Linked DNA regions of Mytilus edulis. The protein of the gene in region 1 binds, or shares a complex with, the protein of each later gene. Links are inferred from orthologs where the notes say so. Each region holds a gene or a part of one and is shown on either strand. Other genes may lie near its edges. The genes, in order: geranylgeranyl transferase type-2 subunit beta-like, protein prenyltransferase alpha subunit repeat-containing protein 1-like and synaptobrevin homolog YKT6-like.

Region 1 (7,728 bases):
GTGCTCCGCAGGGCGCAGCTTTATACGACCGCAGAGGTCGAACCCTGAACAGTTGGGGCAAGTATGGACAAAACATTCAAGCGTGATACAGCTCTGAATTTGGATTGTGATCAAATTTTTGACATTACATGGGTTTTTTTACACAAAACAAATGTCAAGATTTTACAAATCAATTTTCTTCTTATTTAAATCTAAAATTAAATAGTTGACACAGCATAGGTTTCTGACACAGAATGAATGTGGTCTAATGAACTTAAAAGTTTTTTTTTGCCTTTGAGCAATTCACTATGCTGTTGAATATTAATCCTCTCAAAAAAATGTTTGAAGAAATTTTCTTTTTATTTATGAAATCTGAAATGAGAAAAATTTAACCCCCCCCCCCTTTTTTCACATCCCTGTTTCCCTTTTTCCAAAACTGATATCAATTCAAATTTCTAATGGAGTTTGCAACAATAACTACTCTTTTAAATACATCATAAAATATTAAAATGTAAAATAAAGTGCTTGTTATCACTGAATGGTAAAGATTGGTTGGTAGTAAAAGTGAATATACATTGTTTATTGTATAAAACAATAAAAAAAACTTCATCAGCAACATTTTATATTGGCAAATTTCCAATGAAGTTATTTACATAAAGTTATTGGCAAATAAAAATAGAAAATGACATCATAGTCATGTCTGGCAAATTTCCAACATACATTATCTAAAACATTTTAGATAAGATAAGGAAAAAAAGCTTCATCAGCAACATTTTATATTGGCAAATTTCCAATGAAGTTATTTACATAAAGTTATTGGCAAATAAAAATAGAAAATGACATCATACTCATGTCTGGCAAATTTCCAACATATATTATCAACTACTATTCTATACAAAGAAAGATAACTCCAATTGAAAATTAATTGCTATTGCACAATATTGTGCAATTAGATATTTCTTGCTATTGTGCAATACTGTGCAATTGAAAATTTCTTGCTATTGCACAATACTTGATATGGAATCCTGATTTGGACCAACTTGAAAACTGGGCCCATAATCAAAAATCAAAGTACATATTTAGATAAAGCATATCAAATAAGCCCAAGAATTTAATTTTTGTTAAAATCAAACTTAGTTTAATTTGGACCCTTTGGACCTTAATGTAGACCAATTTGAAAACTGGACCAAAAATTAAGAATCTACATACACAGTTAGATTTGGCATATCAAAGAACCCATTTATTCAATTTTTGAAGAAATCAAACAAAGTTTAATTTTGGACCCCCATTTGGACCAACTTGAAAACTAGGCCAATAATTAAAAATCTAAGTACATTTTTAAATTCAGCATATCAAAGAACCCCAAGGATTCAATTTTTGTTAAAATCAAACTAAGTTTAATTTTGGACCCTTTGGACCTTAATGTAGACCAATTTGAAAACGGGACCAAAAATTAAGAATCTACATACATAGTTAGATTCGGCATATCAAAGAACCCCAATTATTCAATTTTTGATGAAATCACACAAAGTTCAATTTTGGACCCTTTGGGCCCCTTATTCCTAAACTGTTAGGACCAAAACTCCCAAAATCAAACCCAACCTTCCTTTTATGGTCATAAACCTTGTGTTTAAATTTCATAGATTTCTATTTACTTATACTAAAGTTATGGTGCAAAAACCAAGAATAATGCTTATTTGGGCCCTTTTTTGGCCCTTAATTCCTAAACTGTTGGAACCAAAACCCCCAAAATCAATCCCAACCTTCCTTTTGTGGTCATAAACCTTGTGTCAAAATTTCATAGATTTCTATTCACTTAAACTAAAGTTATAGTGCGAAAACCAAGAAAATGCTTATTTGGGCCCTTTTTGGCCCCTAATTCCTAAAATGTTGGGACCAAAACTCCCAAAATCAATACCAACCTTCCTTTTGTGGTCATAAACCTTGTGTTAAAATTTCATAGATTTCCATTCACTTTTACTAAAGTTAGAGTGCGAAAACTAAAAGTATTCGGACGCCGGACGACGACGACGACGCCGACGCCGACGCCAACGTGATAGCAATATACGACGAAAAATTTTTCAAATTTTGCGGTTGTATAAAAAAATCTTGCATCTTATAGGGGATATCAATCCAGAAAAGTGGAAGGATATCATGTTTACTGGAAGTAGTGCGGCCCAGTAAAAACAGCAAACATAAAGTAGAAAAAAAATGTTTTGACTTCAGGGTTACGTAACTTTTTAATCTTCGTGGCAAGACCCACTTTTTTTTCCGATTAAATCACAATTTCACATTAGTACATAAATGATATGAACATGAAATAAAATTTCTATGTAGCATTTTAATTTTCAAAGTTCAGCTGTTTTGCATGTAAGCCTATGGAGCAGTCAATTACAAGACTGCGACCACAAGAACCGCGAGTAGGCCAAACCAACGCCATAGAGTACTGCAATTGTAGAGCACCTGAAACGCCTCAACATTTTCTTCTGGAATGTCCCTGCTATGAAAACGAACGAGAAGATATGTTACACCAAATATCCAAAGAGGTCGGGGTCAGAAACTTGAATTTGGCTACTATGCTAACGAGACTGGACGGCGAGAGCACAGAAGAGACAAAAGCCAAACTACTAACAGTGGCACATTACATTGACAGAACAGGCAGATTTAATACTGCTGTTCCACAATCCCAATCTTAACCAGCGCATACCAATTTAAAACACACAGAAGAAAATATGTTGAGGAAATCCACCAGAGAGGAAAACCGCACATTGAGACAATTCCGAATTCGTGCGAACAGGCTTTAAGATTGAGGATTGAGGCTCTGTTCTGTTGTCAAACTGTCAAAACAGGTACATTCATAACATCAGATACCAGAACAATTTCAGTTTACAAATTCTGATATGTTAATTTTAGGACACATTTCTAGACAAATACTGTTCCAAGTTTTGTATATAAAAAGGCTAAAATGTTCGATTCGTGAGCTGAAGCGAAATATTGTTTTCAACTTAATAAGAGAGACAACATGGATTTTAAGTCTAGTTACCATTTCTGTCTGTCAGAAAACTCATATAACGTGAAACCTAAAATAGATGTGATAAATATTTCATGTTGATGTGTGTCATGGGGGCGTCCATCACAACGACCCGGATGGGGTTTCCCCATCTTCGGTTTCCGGTTCTAAAATTAGAAATATAGGACGATAAGACCTCTGTCCCCTGAAAATGCTTGCTGGAAAACTTGCACTTGTAACTGGTATATTTTAGTGTTATAACTCATCATAAAGTCTTTTTATTTCACATAGTACTATAAAAACGTTATGTTATGACATTAAACTCTTCTCTTGTTTATTTTAATACCAGTCCACAGAGGTCTGTAGAGGGGTATATTTTTGTTTAGACCAATGATTTGTATACTATACAAATCCTTGTTTAGACTAGATTTAAATATACAAAGGGCAGAATGGCATTTTCTACTTATGATGGCAGTAACCTGCAACAGTTGTGCACCAATTGATGTACTTAATTTAATATGCACATGCCCAGTTTGCTGCTTATCTGACTAAATACCAAAGGGCCAAGTGAGCTTTTCTTATCACTTGGCGTCCGTCGTCTCACGTCTGTCATCTGTAGACTTTTACAAAATCTTCTCCTCTGAAACTACTGGGCCAAATTTAACCAAACTTGGCCACAATCATCATTGGGTTTTTTAGTTTAAAAAATGTGTCTGATGACCCCGCCATGCAACCAACCAATGTTTGCATGGCTGAAAAATAGAACGTAGGTGTAAAATGAAGATTTTGGCTTGTATCTCTGAAACCAAAGCATTTAAAGCAAATCTAACATGGGGTAAAATTGTTGTTGGGTTGCGGCCCCTGAATTGGTAATTTTAAGGAAATTTTGCCGTTTTCAGGGCCGTAACTACATTGAGGCAAATGAGGCAAATGTCTCATGCTGGAAATTTAAAAAAAAAAAATTAAAAAAATTGTCTTTATATCAAATTGTTTTCACAGAAAGTGTCTTGCAAGAAGCAAGTTCTCTTCACTGGACTGATGTCGCCCCTGCATTTTTATGCCCCACCTACGATAGTAGAGGGGCATTATGTTTTCTGGTCTGTGCGTCCGTCCATCCGTCTGTTCAGGATAAAGTTTTTGGTCAAGGTAGTTTTTGATGAAGCTGAAGTCCAATCAACTTGAAACTTAGTACACTTGTTGCTTATGATATGATATTTCTAATTTTAAAGCCAAATTAGACTTTTGACCCCAATTTCACGGTCCACTGAACATAGAAAATGAAAGTGGGAGTTTCAGGTTAAAGTTTTTGGTCAAGGTAGTTTTTGATGAAGCTGAAGTCCAATCAACTTGAAACTTAGTACACTTGTTGCTTATGATATGATATTTCTAATTTTAAAGCCAAATTAGACTTTTGACCCCAATTTCACGGTCCACTGAACATAGAAAATGAAAGTGGGAGTTTCAGGTTAAAGTTTTTGGTCAAGGTAGTTTTTGATGAAGCTGAAGTCCAATCAACTTGAAACTTAGTACACATGTTCCATATGATATGATCTTTATAATTTTAATGCCAAATTAGATTTTTTACCCAATTTCACAGTCCATTGAACATGAAAAATGATAGTGCGAGTGGGGCATCCGTGTACTTTGGACACATTCTTGTTTTTTGTGATTTATGTTTCCATTTTACTTTTGGTTTTCGGAGTTGATGGTCTATTGTTTGTACTTCTGTGTCTCGGTTTGTCTTTTGTTCTTTTATTGTCCTACTTTATGACTATAGTCTGAGTGTTTTTTTTCATTTGGAAACGTGTGCAATGTTGCATGTCCACCAATGTCCAGATATTGTGCGGGAAAATATTTTAAGAATATTCTCTCGTTTTTTATATAGATTAGACGGTTGGTTTTCTCGTTTGAATGGTTTTACACTAGTAATTTTGGGGCCCTTTATAGCTTTTTGTTCGGTGTGAACCAAGGCTGCGTGTTGAAGGCCGTACATTGACTTATAATGGTTACTTTTATAAATTGTTATTTGGATGGAGAGTTGTCTCATTGGCACTAACACCACATCTTCCTATATCTATCTATGATGCTATACTGGACACAGAAAAAATTGTCGTTTCTGCATGGATAATTGAACTTGATATCAAAGGATACAAATATGTTTTTGTCTTTTTTTTTCCGTTGATTAAGATATTCAGTTTTCTATATTAATTATACAAATCTATCACTTTTGTACATGTCTCACCTTGTTTTGAGTCAGAGAAAATACCAGAAATATTTCTGAGTATGGATTGTAAAATTAAGTATTTTCTCTGAGTCGTTTAAATCACTCGAAACTAGCTATATATAGGTGAGACATGCACAGAAGTGATAGATATATGTATTATAAATATAGAAAATTTACTATTTTAATCAAAAACAAAAAAAAATAAAAAAAAATATCTGTATCATATACCCAAGCTCCTGTGGATAAAACTACATAGCTGACATGGTTTAAATTAAAGAAAGACCACCAATTTCCCGGTATCAAATCATTTAAAAAACTAGAGGCTCTAAAGAGCCTGTGTCGCTCACCTTGGTCTTGTGCATATTAAACAATGGACAAGGATAAATTCATGACATAATTATGTTTTGGTGATAGTGATGTGTTTGTAGATCTTACTTTACTGAACATTCTTGTTGCTACAATTATCTCTATCTAAAATGAACTTGGCCCAGTAATTACAGTGGAAAATATTTTCTAAAAATTTACAAAAATTTATGAAAAATGTTAAAAATTAACTATATAGGGCAATAACTCCTTAAGGGGTCAATTGACTATTTTGGTCATGTAAACTTATTTGTAGATCTTATTTTGCTGAACGTTATTGCTGTATACAGTTTATCTCTATCTATAATAATATTCAAGATAATAACCACATTTTTTAAACAAGTTACCCCAATGATGATTGTGGCCAAGTTAAGTTTAATTTGGCCCAGTAGTTTCAGAGAAGATTTTTGTAAAAGATTATTAAGATTTACGAAAAAATGGTTAAAAATTGACTATAAAGGGCAATAACTCCTTCAGGGGTCAACTGACCATTTTGGTCATGCTGACTTATTTGTAAATCTTACTTTGCTGAACATTATTGCTGTTTACAGTTTATCTCTATCTATAATAATATTCAAGATAATAACCAAAAACAGCAAAAATTCCCTAAAATTACCAGTTCAGGGGCAGCAACCCAATAACAGGTTGTCGGATTCATCTGAAAATTTGAGGGCAGATAGATCTTGACCTGATAAACAATTTAACCCAGTCAGATTTGCTCTAAATGCTTTGGTTTTTGAGTTATAAGCCAAAAACTGCATTTTACCCCTATGTTCTATTTTTAGCCATGGCGGCCATCTTGGTTGGTTGGCCGGGTCACGCCACACATTTTTGAAACTAGATACCCCAATGATGATTGTGGCCAAGTTTGGTTTAATTTGGCCCAGTAGTTTCAGAGGAGAAGATTTTTGTAAAAACGAAGACGGACAACGACGGACGACGGACGCCAAGTGATGGGAAAAGCTCACTTGGCCCTTCGGGCCAGGTGAGCTAAAAACCAATGTATTGCCATACATTTTGTATAACCTTTTATATCATGTATATTGAATGGTTAAACTTGCATTAAGTCCTGTTTAGACAGAAAATAAAGTAATATGAAGTAAACGTGCACAGGACCTAATCGCACACAAAGTCAATGCATAGAAAAAATACAAATGATCAATGGTCAAAGCTTTTATTCCTGTTCTTCATCTTGATAGTTGCTGGAGGGTCTTGGACTTCAATAATCATTAATACCGTAAAAGAAGGTCGAGATGGTCCCTAGTGTCGACTTAAGCAGTACTAGTACTTAAAGTATAATACTGCACTGTCACTATATTTAAATCTAGTCATAAAAAAATCACCAAAGTCAATACAAGACAAGAGCAGACAGACAACCCGGTATTAATGATTATGAGAAATACGATTTTTACTTTATCCTACATATCGGTCTTTTAATGTTGCCCATAAAACCTAAAAGTCTTAAATTACAATAAATCTATGTTTTTGCTCTGAGACTAGAATGTTGTCGAAAAAATAGCTAAAGATTATTTGCGTTTCAATGTAAGAAAGAGTCCGTGGAACGCTTCGAATGCGTGATATTGCGTTATTTTTCTCAGAGCTGCTGGGGGCCTTGAGCGGCCTCAAGACCCCTCGACAAAATTTTTTCTCCTCGCTACGCTCGGCGAATATGTTTTGCCTCACTATTAAAAGAAGCTAGTTACGGCCCTGGTTTTTGGTTATTATCATGAATTTTATTTTAGATCATGTAGATAGAGATAAACTGTAAACAGCAAAAATGTTCAACAAAGTAAGACCTACAAATGAGTCAAACATGACCAAAATGGTCAATTGACCCCTTAAGGAGTTATTGCCTTTTATAGTCATTTTTTACCAATTTTTCATAAATTTTTGTAGTCTTTTACCAAAATCTTCCACTCTGAAACTACTGGGCCATATTTAACCAAACATGGCCACAATCATCATTGGTGTATCTAGTTTAAAAAATGTGTCCGGTGACCCGGCCAACCAACCAAGACGGCCGCCATGGCTCATAATAGAACATAGGGCTAAAATGTAGATTTTGGCTTATAACTCTGAAACCAAAGCTTTTAAAGCAATTCTGAATGGGAAAAATTGTTCATCAAGTCAAGATCTATCTGCCCTGGAATTT
Region 2 (8,268 bases), on another chromosome or scaffold:
AAATTGATATCTAAACCATGCATTTGGCATTGACTTTTATTCTTGATTTTCTAAACTAAACTAAATGAATAACTGAGATGGTATTGCGTGTAGTTTTACCTAAGAATTTGGCATTAACTTCTTTCATCCTCCATGTCATCAGTGTATTGTAGGCATAATGATGAAGAATTTTGACACTCCACATCTCAAGTCCAAGTTTATGGTCTTGTAGAATGAGTGGACTTCGGTTGTGTTTGGGTTCCAGTACTGGTAGAAAGTCATATTCATCACTGTAAATAATTCAAAATGTAAATGTTATAATATATTATATAATATGCATGCATGGCTTCCACATTTTGTGTTCTAATGATGTTTTATCCAGACAAAATCATTCACGATACTGAGTCACTTAGTGTTAATTTTCAATAACTTAGTGGAAAGGTATATATGAAATTCAAAGTGAGGGGCTTTGGTTAATAACTTCCTTTCATATTCATGTTCAGCTACATATATGGTTCATGCATAGACTTTTCACATATAGTTTGGGCCCCCATTTTTCAAAATCCTGGATATGTATCTGAAACAACTTCCTTGGCTATTTCCTTTGAAGTTCAACACGTCTGTATGTTATTATACATTTTGTAGATGTGATAATGAGCAGATAAGTGACAAAGTGCAAACTATTGTTTGCTATTGTTTGACAGTTGTTGGGCAATCTTGAACAGCAAAGTCGATTAAAACAACCTACTATTCTTAAGTAGGGATTCCAATGAGGGTGACGTGCAATTTGAGGTCAGTGAAAAGTTAATATCATTTCAAAGTTTTAATGATCATTTAAAATGATTCCAAAGTCATTTTAACAAGATGCAAATTGTGTGCAGTTACAAATATATACATGTACATGTTTAGAAAAAATTCTTGAAAAATAGAAGTAAAATCCAAAGCAACATCCAAAAAGTAAAAGATATAATCTATTCTCAATTGAAACTCATAAAGCAACGTTACATCACATGTAAATACAGGGAAATGACACAAAGACCTTACAAAGAACAATGTATCCTGATGCTACAAAAATTGTATATATCAAAAAAGACATAATTTGCAAATGTGAAATTTTAAAAGTAACAATAAATACATATGACCAAAAAAAAATACTATAGTGGTCTGCAATATCCGTATTATAATGATGGGTCCCTGTCCTGAAATACAATGCAGCAATTTCAGAAGTGACTATATAGCTATAATGAATTCTTATTGTCAGATACTTTGTGTAATCTTACCCAGTGCTTAATATTTAATTAGAACCAGGATTTGTGTAGTAAAAAGGTTCTTACTATAAGTATTATGATTAAGACATTACATTCTATTCTCTGTTTTTTTAAATTGATAATCAAGCCTTAAAAGTCAGCAGGAATTGTTATTTTAATGTCTTTATCATGTGTAACATATCCTCTCCTTTCACAGCAGATGGATGTACGTCATTCTGACAAAATGACTTTTTGTTGTAAAATATTCTTTCTCAAAACAAACTCTCAATATCTTTAGGTCTTTTCACCACTGAACTCACTGCACACCGCCGAACAGCCCAAAAATTATATTATTTTATCTTTTATCATTATAAATGTGACCTTAATCATGTTAATATAATAATTTAGTTATTAATTCAACAAAATATTAGATTGATAAAACCAAACATCTAAATCAAACATTTAACATAATATTTTTTTATAGGAGAGTACAATGTGTATATAATATAAAGAACAATTTGAAAAAGTATATGCTAGCAGTCTCTGGGACCAGGAACATATATTAACTGATAGATATATACTGTTCCCAGCTGGGACCCACATCTCCAAAAACACATACAACAGCTAGAAATGGTCCAAAGTAGAGCAGCCAGATTCATCAGACATGAGTATTCTCAAGACCCAGGCATAGTAACATCTTTATTAGAGAACCTAAAACTACCACAACTACCATGACTATAGGAGAGACGAAAAACATCATGTTTACTCCTTTTTCACAAAGTAATCCACCAACTTATTGCAATTCCAATTCCAGAATACTTGACACCACCAGCAAGAATGATGCGTCAATTCCATCAACGGCGATTTGTCAGATTAGGATCAAGTTCTGAACAAAGAAAACATAGCTTCTTCGTAAGAACCATCACAAATTGGAATGAACTACCGCATTTATTGCTGTCTAGTCTATTGGACATTGACGACTATGAAGCATTCAAGACCAACCTCATAGCACACAGATATCTGTAAATCAGCACACAAATGTTTTTATCTGCCTTGGCACCTGTGCATATGATTTTAATTAGGCAGCAACCATTTGATTTTCTGGGGGGGGGCTATGGTTTTTTTTGGAAAAAAAAGTTTGTTTCCAGTTTTTGGAGAAAAAAATAATTTGTTTTTGATTCTGAGAAAAAAAAATTGTTTGTTTCACCCTCAGCTGCCACTATATGTAATGCTAAAATTGAAAGAAAAAAATTGTTTTCGACCTGTCGCGAAAAAAATAGATTGTTTTTCGCCGCAGGCGAAAAAAAAAGTTTGCACAGATAAAAAAACCATAGCCCCCCCCAGAAAATCAAATGGTTGCTGCCTTAAAAGAGCACATTTTGGATGACACAACTTTAAATTTTAACATATTACAGATTACCCATATAGATGTATAGGTGTGGCCGAATCGACCGTGTCCGAAACGACCTTAACGATATGGTTAATAACTCTCAGGACATTTCGGCCACATAAGTTATGTGGCCGAAATGTCCCGAGAGTTAAGACATAATATCTTAATAATTTCTTTGTTTACATCTGTTTTTATGAAGAATTTGGTTCAATGCAAGCTTTCTCAATGAAATTACATCGCCTATTGAAATGCCAAACTGTTCGAAATGGGGCTTAATTTACAGTTTTTAATTACATCTCGGGGTCCTTCCGAAATACGCTGTTTAAATCTGAAAGTAGGCGACATCCTCTGCTGTCAGACGACATTTTGGATTTTTTGTTATGATCACGTGATGTCGCACAAAAAGATAATATACTGTTCTTTTTATTATTATTTTGTATTTTGAACGCCAAATATAAATATTTTTGTCTATTATGAATCTCTTTTACACAATAAAATTTTTTATTGCTGCAATTAACAATAAAATTAAAGTCACGAATATACGAGATTAAAGATGTCAGCGCACATGAAAATCCAACCAAAAAAAACAACTTTTTAATTAGAAACGGATAAGAAAGATGTACAGTCGAAATAACAGCAGAAAGAACTTTCGGCCTGCAAATCCTCGATTTGTCACACGAGGCCAAAACCAGAGACACAATTTTCCTCCACGAACACCGGGACAGTACACCCCAAGAAATAACCAACCAAGAAGGTTTCAAAACACAAACACTATCACGTCCAATTTTCCAAATAATGAACACGGGCAAAATCAACGCTCATTTGAAGAAAGAGTTGATAATCGCAATGTTCAAAGTAGTAGACCACAAGGGCCTTCTTCATTTCCAATATACAACCAAGGGCAAACACAAGGCAGCCAACAAGACCAATCACAACCTTCAAGCTGGGAGCTAAACACTTCTATGTCTATGAGAGATCCAAATCGCAATAGGACTGGCATGGCAAAATACAGTTCTGACTCGAGAATTACACCTCAAACATCAATCGATGGCTATCACCAGGCTCCACTTATCAACATGTCGATGAATGATCAAAAACCTTTTAACTGGTCAATGAATGATCAGAAGAATGAAATTCTTGACAGTAAAGGTAGTGGAAACTTTTTTACAAAAGTTGCACAAGAAGAAATACAAAAATCAAAATCAACTTTCAATTCACAGAATATGCAAATTCCAGGTCTTGATGTTATTCCTGATCAGGATGAAAGCACCACACTTGTGCAAAGGTCAAGCATAATATCACCTCAACAAAGTTCTGAATTGCTGGGTTCTTTGAGTTTCGCACAAACTGAAAAACCGTTTGACAATAGACAACAAGATCATACAAATCCTCAAATTCACCAATTTACAAAACCATTGGACTACCAAGGACTTAGTCATGTTAGTGTTCCTGAATCAGTTCAACCTGTACAAATGATGATCCCAAATTGTCCACCTCCTTCCAATTCATTTTTGCAAAATGATATGCAATTCAGAAATAATCAGCTTGGAATGCCACCACCAATGAACAGATTTCCTAATCCATTTCCACCACCTAATTTTCAACCAAAACCCTACGCAGGTTCAAATCCGTTTCCTCCAAATTCTCATCCTCCTCCACTCAAGCCAGTTATGAATCAGCAAATTCAGCAGCACCACCAGCAGCCGTTTCAACTTAAAAAAGAATTAATTCAGACAGAACATGCAACTGTACTGCCAGGGAAAGAAAAAGATACAGAGTGGATAAAATCATGGCTTGATAGAAAAGGAATACAATCTGATGATTGGAAGGTCCAGAAAAAAGAATGTGTCAAAACACCAGTTAATGTAAGAATTGGCTAGCAAAAATGTAGGACAGAAAATCACAGGACAAAAAGTCACAATTCAGTTTTGAGACTACATGTATATTTCTTTGAACAAGAAAACACAAATTTAAAAACGAATATTTTTGTTTTTTCTTGAACTATTATATACAATGATATAAAAGGCAACTTTAATTTTGTAATTAAAATGTTTTCAATAAATATCAATAATGATCAAATAATTGTTATTAAAACAAAATGTCAAAGTTGCTTGGTACACAAATGTCTTCATGGTGCTAAGAAATATATTCTTTGCATGATTAAAATGTGATGAATTTTCATTTATCAAAACCTGTGACAAATTTCCTTATCTGAAAAATTAATATACATATGTATGTAGTAAAAAGAAAATATTTCTGGATCTTTCTCTTATACATGTATATTCAAACAATTGTTGAAGAATTATATGTGACTTTTTGTCCTGTGACTTTTTGACCTATCAAATTTGTGACTTCATGTCTTGTGACTCTCTGTCTGTTTACCGGCTAACAATACTCAATCTATATATCAATATATATAGATGAGCAGTGTCATAAATGATCTAGTGAAAATACGCTGAAGTACAATTCTAAAATAAGTATTGCAACATTCCAATGATAGACAAACAAGATTCAATCGATTGAATTATTGAACTGTATTGTGATGTGATAAATGTTTCATTCATGACATTGTACTTCATGTCTCGTGTACTTGTAGCTACATAATGTAGGGTACACATCAATTAGACAGCAACCTCAATTTTGTTCAAAGTACAAGACTCTATGGGTCAGGCCAAAACGTATTATATGTGTAAGTTTCAAAGTTGCAAGTAAAGTTTTAACTCTTAACAGACATTAATTTACCTTTTTGTTGGACTATTGCATATATCACACAGGTTGAGACCATCAAACAAGTCAAAGCTAAGGATCTTTTCCCCTAAAAAATTGTTAAGTTAATGTAAATAAAACTGGACATGATTAAACCATCTACAGGTGTTAAGATATACATGTGTACACTTGTTGATTGGTCATGTTGGTTATACAAATGTATGTAAGGGACCAGGCTAGGGTTACAGCAAGTCTGTTTTCCTTGAGATACCAACTAAGGGAAGCAGTAGTTGTTACAAAGTAAAGTCTCAAACATTTTGTCTTTACAATGTACAAACATTGTATGCAAAGCATTTAAATGTGCATGTTGGAAAAACTTTTAATTCTTTATGCAAAAAGTATATATTTCAGTTGAAATTTTGTAGGGTTTAATGCAAGATTGCTTTATTTATACACATCTTTTTCAATTTTCATAATATGTTTCAGCTATATGATGTCCAAGAAAAAACAAAAAGAATGATGTTTCTGATGGCATCCCTTCAAAAACAGATCAAGATTTTAAAATCATGTGATCAACATCAGATTGAGGAAGAAATGAGAACAACTAATAAATTGAAGGTATGAAAGAACTATAAAGAATCATGGAAGAGAAATATTTAAACTATACAGGAATCCAGATGTTCCATGTTGTTAGTTGTTATGGATTTTTTTTGTATGGGATGTGTACATGTACATTTGTATGTTAAACATACATCTGTATCATGCATATAGAATGTATAGATAATTGTTTGATTGCTGATTTTTTAATGCTTTGTGCAAATAATTGAAACTTGAAAAAGATGGAATTCATTTAAATAAATTTACATATATATAATGTATACTGCTGAATGATGTAACAATTGTTTTTAGTACCAATACATTTGTACCTACAATGTACATGTGTATGGATCTAATCACATACATTACATACATATTGACATGATTGAAATGATTCATTAAAATTTCTTCATTTGAATACCAATAATATCTTTATTTTATTTTTGAAAATAATTTCGAAATGTCTATATTTGTACAGGATGAAATGGATGCCATAAGGAAATATTTGTCCACAGTAGATGTTCTGGATTTAAGAATGAAAGTTAAGAAGAGGATGCAAAAAAGGGTTTGTTGAAAGCTATTAATTTGTTGTGTCAAAGTTGTGCAAAACTTTAAACAGCTCAGAATTTTCCTGAAATATCCAATGGTTATGAAAATAATAAAAGGCTTTAGTTATTCATGTACCATTAACCCAAACCTTCTATTTAAGACTCCTCAACCATAAGAATCCTCCTCCCTTTGTATTACAATTCATGTAATATAATTTGATCATTGTCTTTGCCAGAAATTTTGTAGCTGATAGATGATATGGTTTTGAGCTTTGATCCTTCATATCCTTTTGGAATCAAATTATCCCAGTTTATTTAGTTCCCTTATGAAGTTATGATTTTCAATTTATTTCAAAAGTATCAGTTATAAGGTTCATCAAAAAGAAGGTTAGTTTCAGGTTTAAATTATAATACATGTACAGTGCGTGTATAAGTAGAAACACATTCATTTGTTATTAATTTGTTTTTATCTTGAATAAGTAGATGAGATCATGTGTCTAGGGTTGGCAAAGTAAATTCATTCAAAACATTTTAAGAAAACCTGAAAAGGGCAATGTTTTAGCTGTATTAACTGTACTGTACTGACACATATAACATGTATGAAGATAGTTTTCATTAAATGCTTAAAGAAAAATTACTTTATACATTTGTACATAAAAAACTAAAGTTAGATGTATGAATAAGCGGTGTTTGTACAAGAAGAGTTGACAAACAAATGAAGTCGGGTCCAGTAATTTTGTTCATCCAAACATTGGTTAATTTGATAACGTTGGGATAATGAATGGTAAAAAGTTCTAACGCCTTGTGTATTGTTTGTAAAATGATTATGGAATATAAAATAATTAGATGAATACTATAAACACAACATCATATAAAAAAATTAAATGAAATTTGGAAATAACTTTATTTTTTGTATTATTTTCAGTATGTGAACATTCTAGCTGGACAAAAAGAATACTATTAGCCTGTTTATACAAATATCCTTTTGCATTACTGTATTATATCCTTTCAGCTTCAATTACTGTTGACATTTCATTCATTCTATGATCTGATTCAACAAATCTTTTAACTGCAAATTACTTTGTTTGCAGTTGAATTGATATCAGTTCAGACGTCCATGACCCTTGTTTTATCATAGTTTTTATTTGGATGTTTTTCATAGTTTAGTTAAAGTATTTCTTTGAACTTTTTTTTTCTTGGATAACATGATGTCACCATTCTAAAAGTCTAAATTTTGAAAGAAAAAAATTGACACAGTACAGGAACACATAGATATGATTATATTCAAAGAGTCTAGAAACTGGTGATATCATGAACAGATATGAAGTTGTACAACAAACATATCACAATTTTACATTACATTACAGAGTAAAGATTTTGAATACCTTAACACTAAAACTATGTCACTTAAGTTTAGGTCTGTCCATGGGTTACAATACACTAAATATATATATATCGCTAGATTAAAATTATTAGAATTCCATCAATTAAATTTAAATTTGTAAATGACAAAACATTTCTGATTATGGAGATACTAATAATCAGAGGTATTGAAAAAAGATATTTCAAGCCAGTTAAAATTCAATTTTGTAGTTCAATTTTCTTAGTTTGGTGTAGTTTGTTTTTTACAAATAATTTAAGACAGGATAACACTATAAATCACACTGAATCTCACCACCAGCACCTTCGACATGAAATAGAAGTTCTGTCATAATGAAAGTCAAAAAAATATTCTGTAATATTATTGCCACTGGAACAAATATTACAGTATTTGTTTCTTACTGAATAAAGGGCAAAGGAA
Region 3 (7,696 bases), on another chromosome or scaffold:
CTACAATGTAGTACCAATTATTTCAAATGAAAATTTCTCAGATTTTTCAGGTCAAAATATGTTACACAAAATAAATTCCAATATTTTTAAAGAAAATTATGTTTTCCTTTAAGAGAACCAAAATCTTGTCTACAAAAAAGCAAGTTGTGAAAACAATAAATCAAATTAGTAACAGGGTCATTCTGTTTTGAAAAATGTTAAAGAAGAGTATTACACATGTAATTTTTGTTAACATATGTTTGTAGGGAAATTAACACAGTGAATATTTTGTTACTGTACAGTGGAGTCCCTGTGCGTCTGGTGATGTTGTGCATTACCTGATTTTGTCATATGGACAATGTAACAAAATCATTCTTGTCATTTTTTTAGTATTCCAAAGGGACAAAAAAGATTAAAATTGATAAGTCAAGATTAACTTTATAACTACAATTCGATGACTAACCAAATTTAGACAATTACCATTAAAAATATTATATAAACAGATAAAATTTGTTTCATTAAAGTCAAATTTAAATTAGATTGAAATAAATTTTGCTCTGTATCCTTGGCAGTCTGTTTGGTTTAAATTCAATTATTAATAATTATAGTGTGTATTATAAAATCTTTCTTTTCTTCAACATAAACTATTTTTTAAAAGGCATGCATGAAATCACTAGACATTTAAAGAACTCCCAAAACAGGGAGTTACCGCCGGAAAGTAAACATTAGTACGTTGATGGTTTTCTGTAACAAAAGAAGAAGGGGTTTCAAAATTTTGGATACACATCACACACAATCTTAAGGGTGAAACCATACATACATGTACAGAAGAGTTTAAGAAATTAACAGTATTGAATGAAATGTTTCACACAATATTATCCGATTTTTGGTTTTATCATTCTAATAAAGTGAAGTCATCAGGGTTTCCCCTGGGTCAATTATTTTTTTCGCCACCTCTTTCGCCAAAACAATATATTTTTCGCCACTTTATTATTTTTTTCGCCATATGACACAAATATATCTTTCTTTTGAATTCCCCTCCCTCAAACCTCAATAAGATTACTTTGCCCCATTGCTTTCTAAGATTACTTTCTAAAACTATTCTTTCGGTCTGTATTGTAATAAATAAAAATACTAAACATTTACCTTATAAAAAAAAAAAGAACTGTACAGGGAAAATTGATTATATTTTGAACAACTTTAAAAGAAAGGGACCACTTTTTTTTGAAATTAAAGAAGATATAAATCCTGGAATATAATCTTGGTTACATGAAAATGTCACAGTTCTTTGGGAAAGTTTAAAAAAAAATAATAACATGTGTCCTTTTGTACTAAGAAGTGTTTTTTTACAACAAAACAAAAGTTTTTTTATCACTTGACATTGATCCCTCATGTAAGGTGTAGTCATAACATTGAAGGGTTATTTTTATTCGAGGGGTTGTTCCCAACCTTTTGAATACATTTCTTTATAAAGACAGTTTTCTTTTCTATACCATCGCCAATACATGTGTAAGTACAACTATGCTTGAAACATGTGTGTCACTGAAACGACTTAAAAGTACCCACTCCAATCAATTATCGATTATCAAAGTTAAATGATAAAGTTTTAAATTAGAGACCTTTCTTGCTTTTGAACATTATCCTTCATAGGCAAGTTTTCTTTTCTGGACTATCATTAAAAGAAGGAGAAGAGTCGTCAAAATTTTGCTTCAAACACGTGCGTCGCAAAGTCACGTTAATAGATCCTTTTTAAAGTGACATGTAACGAACGCCATTCAACCATATCATTTTCTCATTACAATCAAAACCTTTATTAATTAGTCCTTTGATGTCGATAGGCATAAAATGCAATCAGCTGATTATTGATTATCTGTCAAAATCTTAACGAGTTCTAGGTGAATTCCGAGTATTGTCTGACCAGGTAAAGACAGAGAAATCCGAAAAAAAGTAAACAAACAAGATGGTTGAAAATAAATCGTTTTATATATTTCTTTTGCCAAATTCTTTCGCCAATGACGAATTTTAATCGCCACAATCATTATTTTTTCGCAAATTGCGAAAATGGCGACCGCCAGCGAAAACCCTGGAAGTCATAAATCTTACGTGTGAGGATACACCGGACTGCACCATACATGTACATGTATAGTTATCTCATAAAAGGTTATCTTGTCTTCATATACATTTTTTATTTGTACAAATATGATTTTAAAAGAGATGAACGTGTGGGGTCACTTGCAAACCTGAAGGGGGTGAATGTGTCTTAGGAGCGACCAGACCTGATAAGTGGTCTCATTGGGGGGTTCCGATCCCGGATCCCGCTTACTGTTTTGTCAGATTCCCATATCCCGCTTACACTATGTACGTAAGCAATTCTCATTTTTTTGTCATTTCCCGGGTCCTGCAAGACCTCATTTCCCGTTTTCACGCCACAATAATTTGACTTTCACGTGTCACGCTTACAAAAAATCGCCAATCCCGCGTCACGCTTAGACCCCAATGAGACCCACCTGATACCAAGTCATACTGTAGCTGCGGAACCGTAGCTCTTATGTCCTTATGCTATTTTTTCACTATTTGCTGACCATAGCTCTATGGTCCGCAAATAGTCAAAAAATAGCATAAGGACCTAAGAGCTACGGTTCCGCAGCTAGTCATACTGGAGACTTTAATTTGTAAAGAATTTAATCACCTGTAACCTTCATTAGTTTAGAACAACTGTACTTTTTTTTCAACTAATATAGAAAACTAACACTTACTTTATCTACACTGTTGCAATTATTTCAAATGAAAATTTGAATTTCTCAGGTTTTTCAGGTCAAAATATGTTGCACAAAATATTTTCCAATATTTTGTGATAAAAATTATGTTTCCGTAAAGATAAATCGAAACCTCCTCTTCAAAAATGCTCTTAAGATGTGACAAAAACAAATCAAAGTAGTAACAGGGTCATTTTGTTTTGACAAATTACTATAAATGTCACATGAATCACGGGCACTGATATTTGGCAATTTTGACAACACAGGAAATGACGTTAAACAGAGTTACCTTCTCTTGATAAAATTATAAAACACAAAACTTACCGGACGCGTGAATCCGTATTACAAATACGGAAAATGCTCATAAATGATTTTTATTGGTATTAATTAATATTCGTTAAATTCAATCATTATCTAAGACTATTTATGTATGTTATCAAACGAAATACCAAATGAAATACTTATCTTTTGAATATATTGTTGGCTTAAAAAAAATATAACTCAGTGTCTTATCATATATAGCCTATCTGGGACTAATACTTATGTGCCCCCCCCCCCCATATGTATGAAGCAACTCAAGAGGGTCTGGATGGAGGAATTTCAATTCTGTATTATTTTATTAGGTCATTCGAAATCGTTCTATATTATTGATATGTTTTTGTCCATTATACTATGATTCCTTTTTAACTACCAATTGTTGACTTGTCTATAATTCTTAATATTTTAACATCCCAATATTCTCTATTCTTCATTTATTTCGCCCATAACAAAGCATACATTTGTCTCTACTGTATTCTATATGTGTGTGGCCATTTTAGTTTTCTGTAGCATTGGTCCATTGTTCTCTATTATGTAAACCCCGTCAAGACCCTTACTTAACACTAAACTTTATTTGACATAGGATCTAGGAATATTTTCTATACCACTACATGTTTTAATGAAGACTGAGCATACTATACTGTATGGGTTATACTCATTGTTGAAGCCCACACGGTTGCCAAAAATTGCTTGCATTCACATCATTTGAACTTTGATAGTTGTCTCACTGGCAAATCTTACCACATCTACTTATTTTTCATGATATAAAATTCTTCATAATCATAATTTTTTTTTTACATGTGTAGTAATATTAATAATGTACACAGATAAAGATGATTAACTTTGACTATATAAAGTATTATAATTAAAATATTGGGGCGGGGGTTGGGCCCTCATTTTTTTTGGCCGATCACTATGATTCTCGGCATTTGAATGGGAATATGTAGTTTGACCCCTTTCTAAAATGGCTGGATCCGCCCCTGGTGGCCTGTCAATGTTTTTGGAGATAAAAAATAACTGTTCGTCCATTTGGATATAAAATAGGGTCCCTAAAGAACATAGTTGTATGTGTCGCTAACCTAATCCAATGATTCTATTAACCAATGGAATTTCCAACATTGCAAGTGGATAAGAATAGAATTCCTGACAAAAAACTGTTTTTGTTGATCATGTCTTGCTGATCATTTTGTGTTTGATTTCTCTCTATCTTCTTTAATTTTTGCTCAAAACATAAAAAGGGGTACACAAATACTTATTTTTTAAAGTGCAATCACCGTGAAATATGAAGAGCCCTACTAACAATATTTATAAAATTTTACTTGTTTGTGGATCTCACCATGCTTGTAGTTTTTGTTGTTCAACGTTTCTATTTATCGGCTGTAATTTGTATCATAAATGCAAAACGCTTAAAACAAACTGAATGGTAAAAATTGTCATTTAAAGCAATAACTCCAATAATGAGTCAGATTATTTCCTCCACTTGTCTAAAATGTAGATCTTTCCTTGTAAGTCACTATTTAAAAAAAAAATCGATCTATCTTTTACAGTTTTATAAGGCAATCATGAAAAAAATGATTGGAAAAATCTGTAACCAATAGGCAATAACTCTTATAGGAAGTCGACTGACGATTTCGACGACTTCGAAAATACGCTCTTATCTTTAGATCTTGATTGCTATTCTTTTTGCAACTTAAAGTTTCTCTCTGTCTGTAATAGTTTTCAAGATGAAAGGCTAAATGATGAACTGAATTGGTAAAAATTGCTTTTTAAGAGCAATTTTTGACGTCCATGAACAATTAGAAGAGCTCAACATTATGATCATTTTTTGTCCTTGTCAGATTTAACACAAGTAACATGTTTAATGTAACATGAAAAAAATCCCTATCTCCCGATAGGCAACATCAAACAAAGAATTCGTTAAGAGTGGACAAGCTTGAAACATAGAAACATTTTTGGCAAGATTTAATTTTGAAATGCATGCAGCCAATGGTATGGCTGGTCTTGTACAAGAAAAGGATATAAAATAGTTTCATATGTCAAAAACGTACATGGAGTGCTTTACAGTATCATAAATTGTCGTAAGCTTTGTTTTGTGATTTGTGGAGTTAATTGAAACTCTCGACTTCGACTGTCAGACGAAACAACAAAACAACTCGAAACTATAATAAAGTCTATACTTGCAATTGTGCAATACAAACAAACGTGATGAGAGCAATGTGAAATGTCAAATATATACATGATCATCTCATCTATATATATATATATATATAACTAACTAACACATTTCATGTTTGTCGGTCAAATATAATATTTAAATTATTATATTCAAATCGCTGTAGAACATCAGTTAACTTTATATACGATTAAGGTTTGTGCCAGCATTAAAAAATGAGTAGTTCAAGCTAGCATTTATAAGCGTTAGTGGCCTTCTGAAATTAAGGGTAACTTTATAAACCACTTTTCTAGAATAAGAATGTTCAATGTTTCGTAATTTTTCAGTATCAGTTCAAAGAAAAACACTTTGCATCTAGATAATGAAGAATTTCAACTGTTATTCATATATTTGTGTGATTTGGTGTTCAGAAAATCATTCAGATGAGTATTGGGATAATGGTCTAGAGTCTCGTTCTATCCCTGATGTTCCTGGTGTACATGCGACAAAGATTTGTATAGTAGAACATCCATGACACGAAGAAAACTTTTAAAGACCAGATTCCATAGTATAGTTTTATTACTATTATGGTATTTATATCAAATTACATTAAAAAAAATGTAAGATTCATAACTCTGTGCATGTCTCGATCTGCACGGCATGTAGATCTGTCTTCACGTATATATATGATACAAACATAAAAATAGTCATAACAAATAACGGGTTTAATTTCATTTCAATTACCGATTTATTCATTTTTTATAAAACTAACTTATCATTAACAGGCCAAAGTTTTGAAAATTGTTTAAAGGTACTTATTTTAAGAGATATTTCCATATATTTTACCATATATCACGCAGTTATATTACTACTTAACGACAATTTAAACACCAATTTTGAAACCTGATTATGATTTTTATCAATAAATCAATCTCACTATTTAATTATTTTTTAATGTTAATTTAAATCTTGACTATACATACAGTTCATTGTGCCGGTTTAGTGGCTCATTTTATTCTTCTTCATCTTTTGATGACATGTACCTGTATTTACTGTGCTTACTCTAATCTCTTACACTGTATCATTCAATTCGCTCAAACTGATCTCCTGATGAAACATTCAGTATTGTGAAAGGGAAACTTTTCAGATTTTTACCCTGTGAGTGAAGCATAGTATGGTAAAATAAGCTGTACGTCTGTAGTTTTCAAGGAAATGGACATATTTTCTTTGCCAGTGTAGTACGTGCAATTTTGTTTCAATGTCAACGTGGGTCTTATAAAAACTTTATACATTTGCGATGTCAATGCTCTTTTCGACAAATGATTACTTGTTAAGGGTAATCAAGGCGAAGATATTTGTAAATTAAAAACCTATAACAAAACTGTTACCTAAAGTAGTCAAATTACAGAAAACTACCCAAAGTAAAGTCAAACCCGGTTTTAAGGAATCAGAGTTATGCATTAGAGAATTGTCTTTCTGAGTTTCAAGTAATTTTCTTAAGTTCTATCAATGTAAAGTTAACAGTATTTGTATTATCATGCCAATACTGATCTTCTTGGCTCCATTCCCCAATAATTTCAAAATGTAACAATCTGAATCTACCAGTAGAGTCTGAGGTCACAGACACTTGTCTCAAATTTTCCCCCCTAAATACCTTAAAGTTTATATTAAGGTATATAGGAATTATTTTTTTTTTGAGACATGTGCCTGTGCCTGAGGTACCAACGGCGAATCAGAAATCAAATACGAAGTCAACGTTGTTTAACAATCTGAATTAAAATTGTTACAAGAAAATTTGTTTTCATGATAATGCATTTCTAAAATATAAACTTTGCTCTTCAAACTAAATTTAATACTAATTTTTTTTGCTAATTTAAAAAAAAAGATCTAAGTCATCATAACCGGATTTATTTATTATTTTTTCATGGTTTGTGTTACAACTGAATTTGACAAGACATTAATTCAAAATTATCTTGTAATGATCAAATTACAAAAAAAAATCTCTTTTTACGGAATTGGTCTAGATGAATTTAATGCAGAACCATGTACATTTATCAAGTTTATTGCCTTTTAATGTTATATATCTACAAAAGTCAAATTCTTTTTAGTTACCTTTTTCGCTTTTAAATTTTCTTCGATGACATTCCTTAGATTGGAAAAAAACTTTATTCGGAAGGTCGTAACATACTTAACAAAAATAACTCCAGCCTGAAAAAAGGTGAGAACAAAAAAACAACGGAACATATATTCCTGCTACCTTATAAATCTGTCGACACACAATGTCTGTAGGTTAGATATATCAACTTCTTCAGAATTACATATTTTGATCGTCAGTCCAACCTTAATTTTAACTATGACAAACATGAATACACTTGTATATATACTTGTTATTTTCTATAAAAGATCGGGAACGTATAGTTCACTTGAGAGAAAAAAATATGCATGTTTTACTGAAAACAAATCATAAAAGTATAGCTATACACAATAGAAG

What was found.
Region 2: the proteins of geranylgeranyl transferase type-2 subunit beta-like (region 1) and protein prenyltransferase alpha subunit repeat-containing protein 1-like are in contact, whole or in part, in a crystal structure (PDB 6O60), measured with the Homo sapiens proteins. The link is inferred for Mytilus edulis from reciprocal best matches to the Homo sapiens genes RABGGTB and PTAR1. Residues at the interface, in NP_004573.2 of Homo sapiens: Lys6, Asp36, Tyr37, Cys40, Met41, Glu43, Tyr44, Ile89, Gly90, His91, Asp92, Asp136, Trp138, Glu140, Phe177, Asp178, Gly182, Cys183, Arg184, Pro185, Gly186, Ser187, Glu188, Ser189, His190, Gln193, Trp217, Glu221, Arg222, Pro225; in NP_001093136.1 of Homo sapiens: Val61, Lys62, Leu65, Pro66, His69, Leu73, Arg76, Leu97, Asn98, Asp100, Phe101, Thr102, Thr103, Asn106, Lys109, Glu110, Leu113, Ile141, Arg144, Trp145, Pro192, Ser193, Tyr195, Ser199, Ile202, Trp203, Gln206, Val231, Ser232, His234.
Region 3: the proteins of geranylgeranyl transferase type-2 subunit beta-like (region 1) and synaptobrevin homolog YKT6-like are in contact, whole or in part, in a crystal structure (PDB 6J7F), measured with the Homo sapiens proteins. The link is inferred for Mytilus edulis from reciprocal best matches to the Homo sapiens genes RABGGTB and YKT6. Residues at the interface, in NP_004573.2 of Homo sapiens: Thr3, Pro4, Gln5, Lys6, Asp7, Ile9, Lys11, Tyr37, Leu45, Trp52, Leu236, Asp238, Cys240, Arg281, Gly283, Asp284, Met285, Asp287, Phe289, His290; in NP_006546.1 of Homo sapiens: Lys60, Gln62, Asp63, Leu65, Asn83, Glu84, Tyr85, Pro86, Ser87, Leu153, Asn155, Thr156, Glu158, Arg189, Lys190, Cys194, Cys195.

The regions. Positions count from the first base shown.
Region 1 is NC_092345.1:46,312,118-46,319,845, reverse strand, and holds the start of geranylgeranyl transferase type-2 subunit beta-like, read right to left. Parts: upstream 3,150-7,728; 5' UTR 3,026-3,149; coding exon 3,023-3,025; intron 1-3,022. Other genes in the region: (3R)-3-hydroxyacyl-CoA dehydrogenase-like, read left to right, coding at 3,201-3,231. UniProt on the Homo sapiens protein: Catalyzes the transfer of a geranylgeranyl moiety from geranylgeranyl diphosphate to both cysteines of Rab proteins with the C-terminal sequence -XXCC, -XCXC and -CCXX, such as RAB1A, RAB3A, RAB5A and RAB7A.
Region 2 is NC_092347.1:89,620,568-89,628,835, reverse strand, and holds the start of protein prenyltransferase alpha subunit repeat-containing protein 1-like, read right to left. Parts: upstream 3,003-8,268; 5' UTR 2,982-3,002; coding exon 2,911-2,981; exon of another isoform or gene 2,898-2,910; intron 270-2,897; coding exon 100-269; intron 1-99. Other genes in the region: programmed cell death protein 7-like, read left to right, coding at 3,234-4,481, 5,809-5,940, 6,398-6,484.
Region 3 is NC_092347.1:81,091,386-81,099,081, reverse strand, and holds the start of synaptobrevin homolog YKT6-like, read right to left. Parts: upstream 3,029-7,696; 5' UTR 2,736-3,028; intron 1-2,735. UniProt on the Homo sapiens protein: Vesicular soluble NSF attachment protein receptor (v-SNARE) mediating vesicle docking and fusion to a specific acceptor cellular compartment. Functions in endoplasmic reticulum to Golgi transport; as part of a SNARE complex composed of GOSR1, GOSR2 and STX5.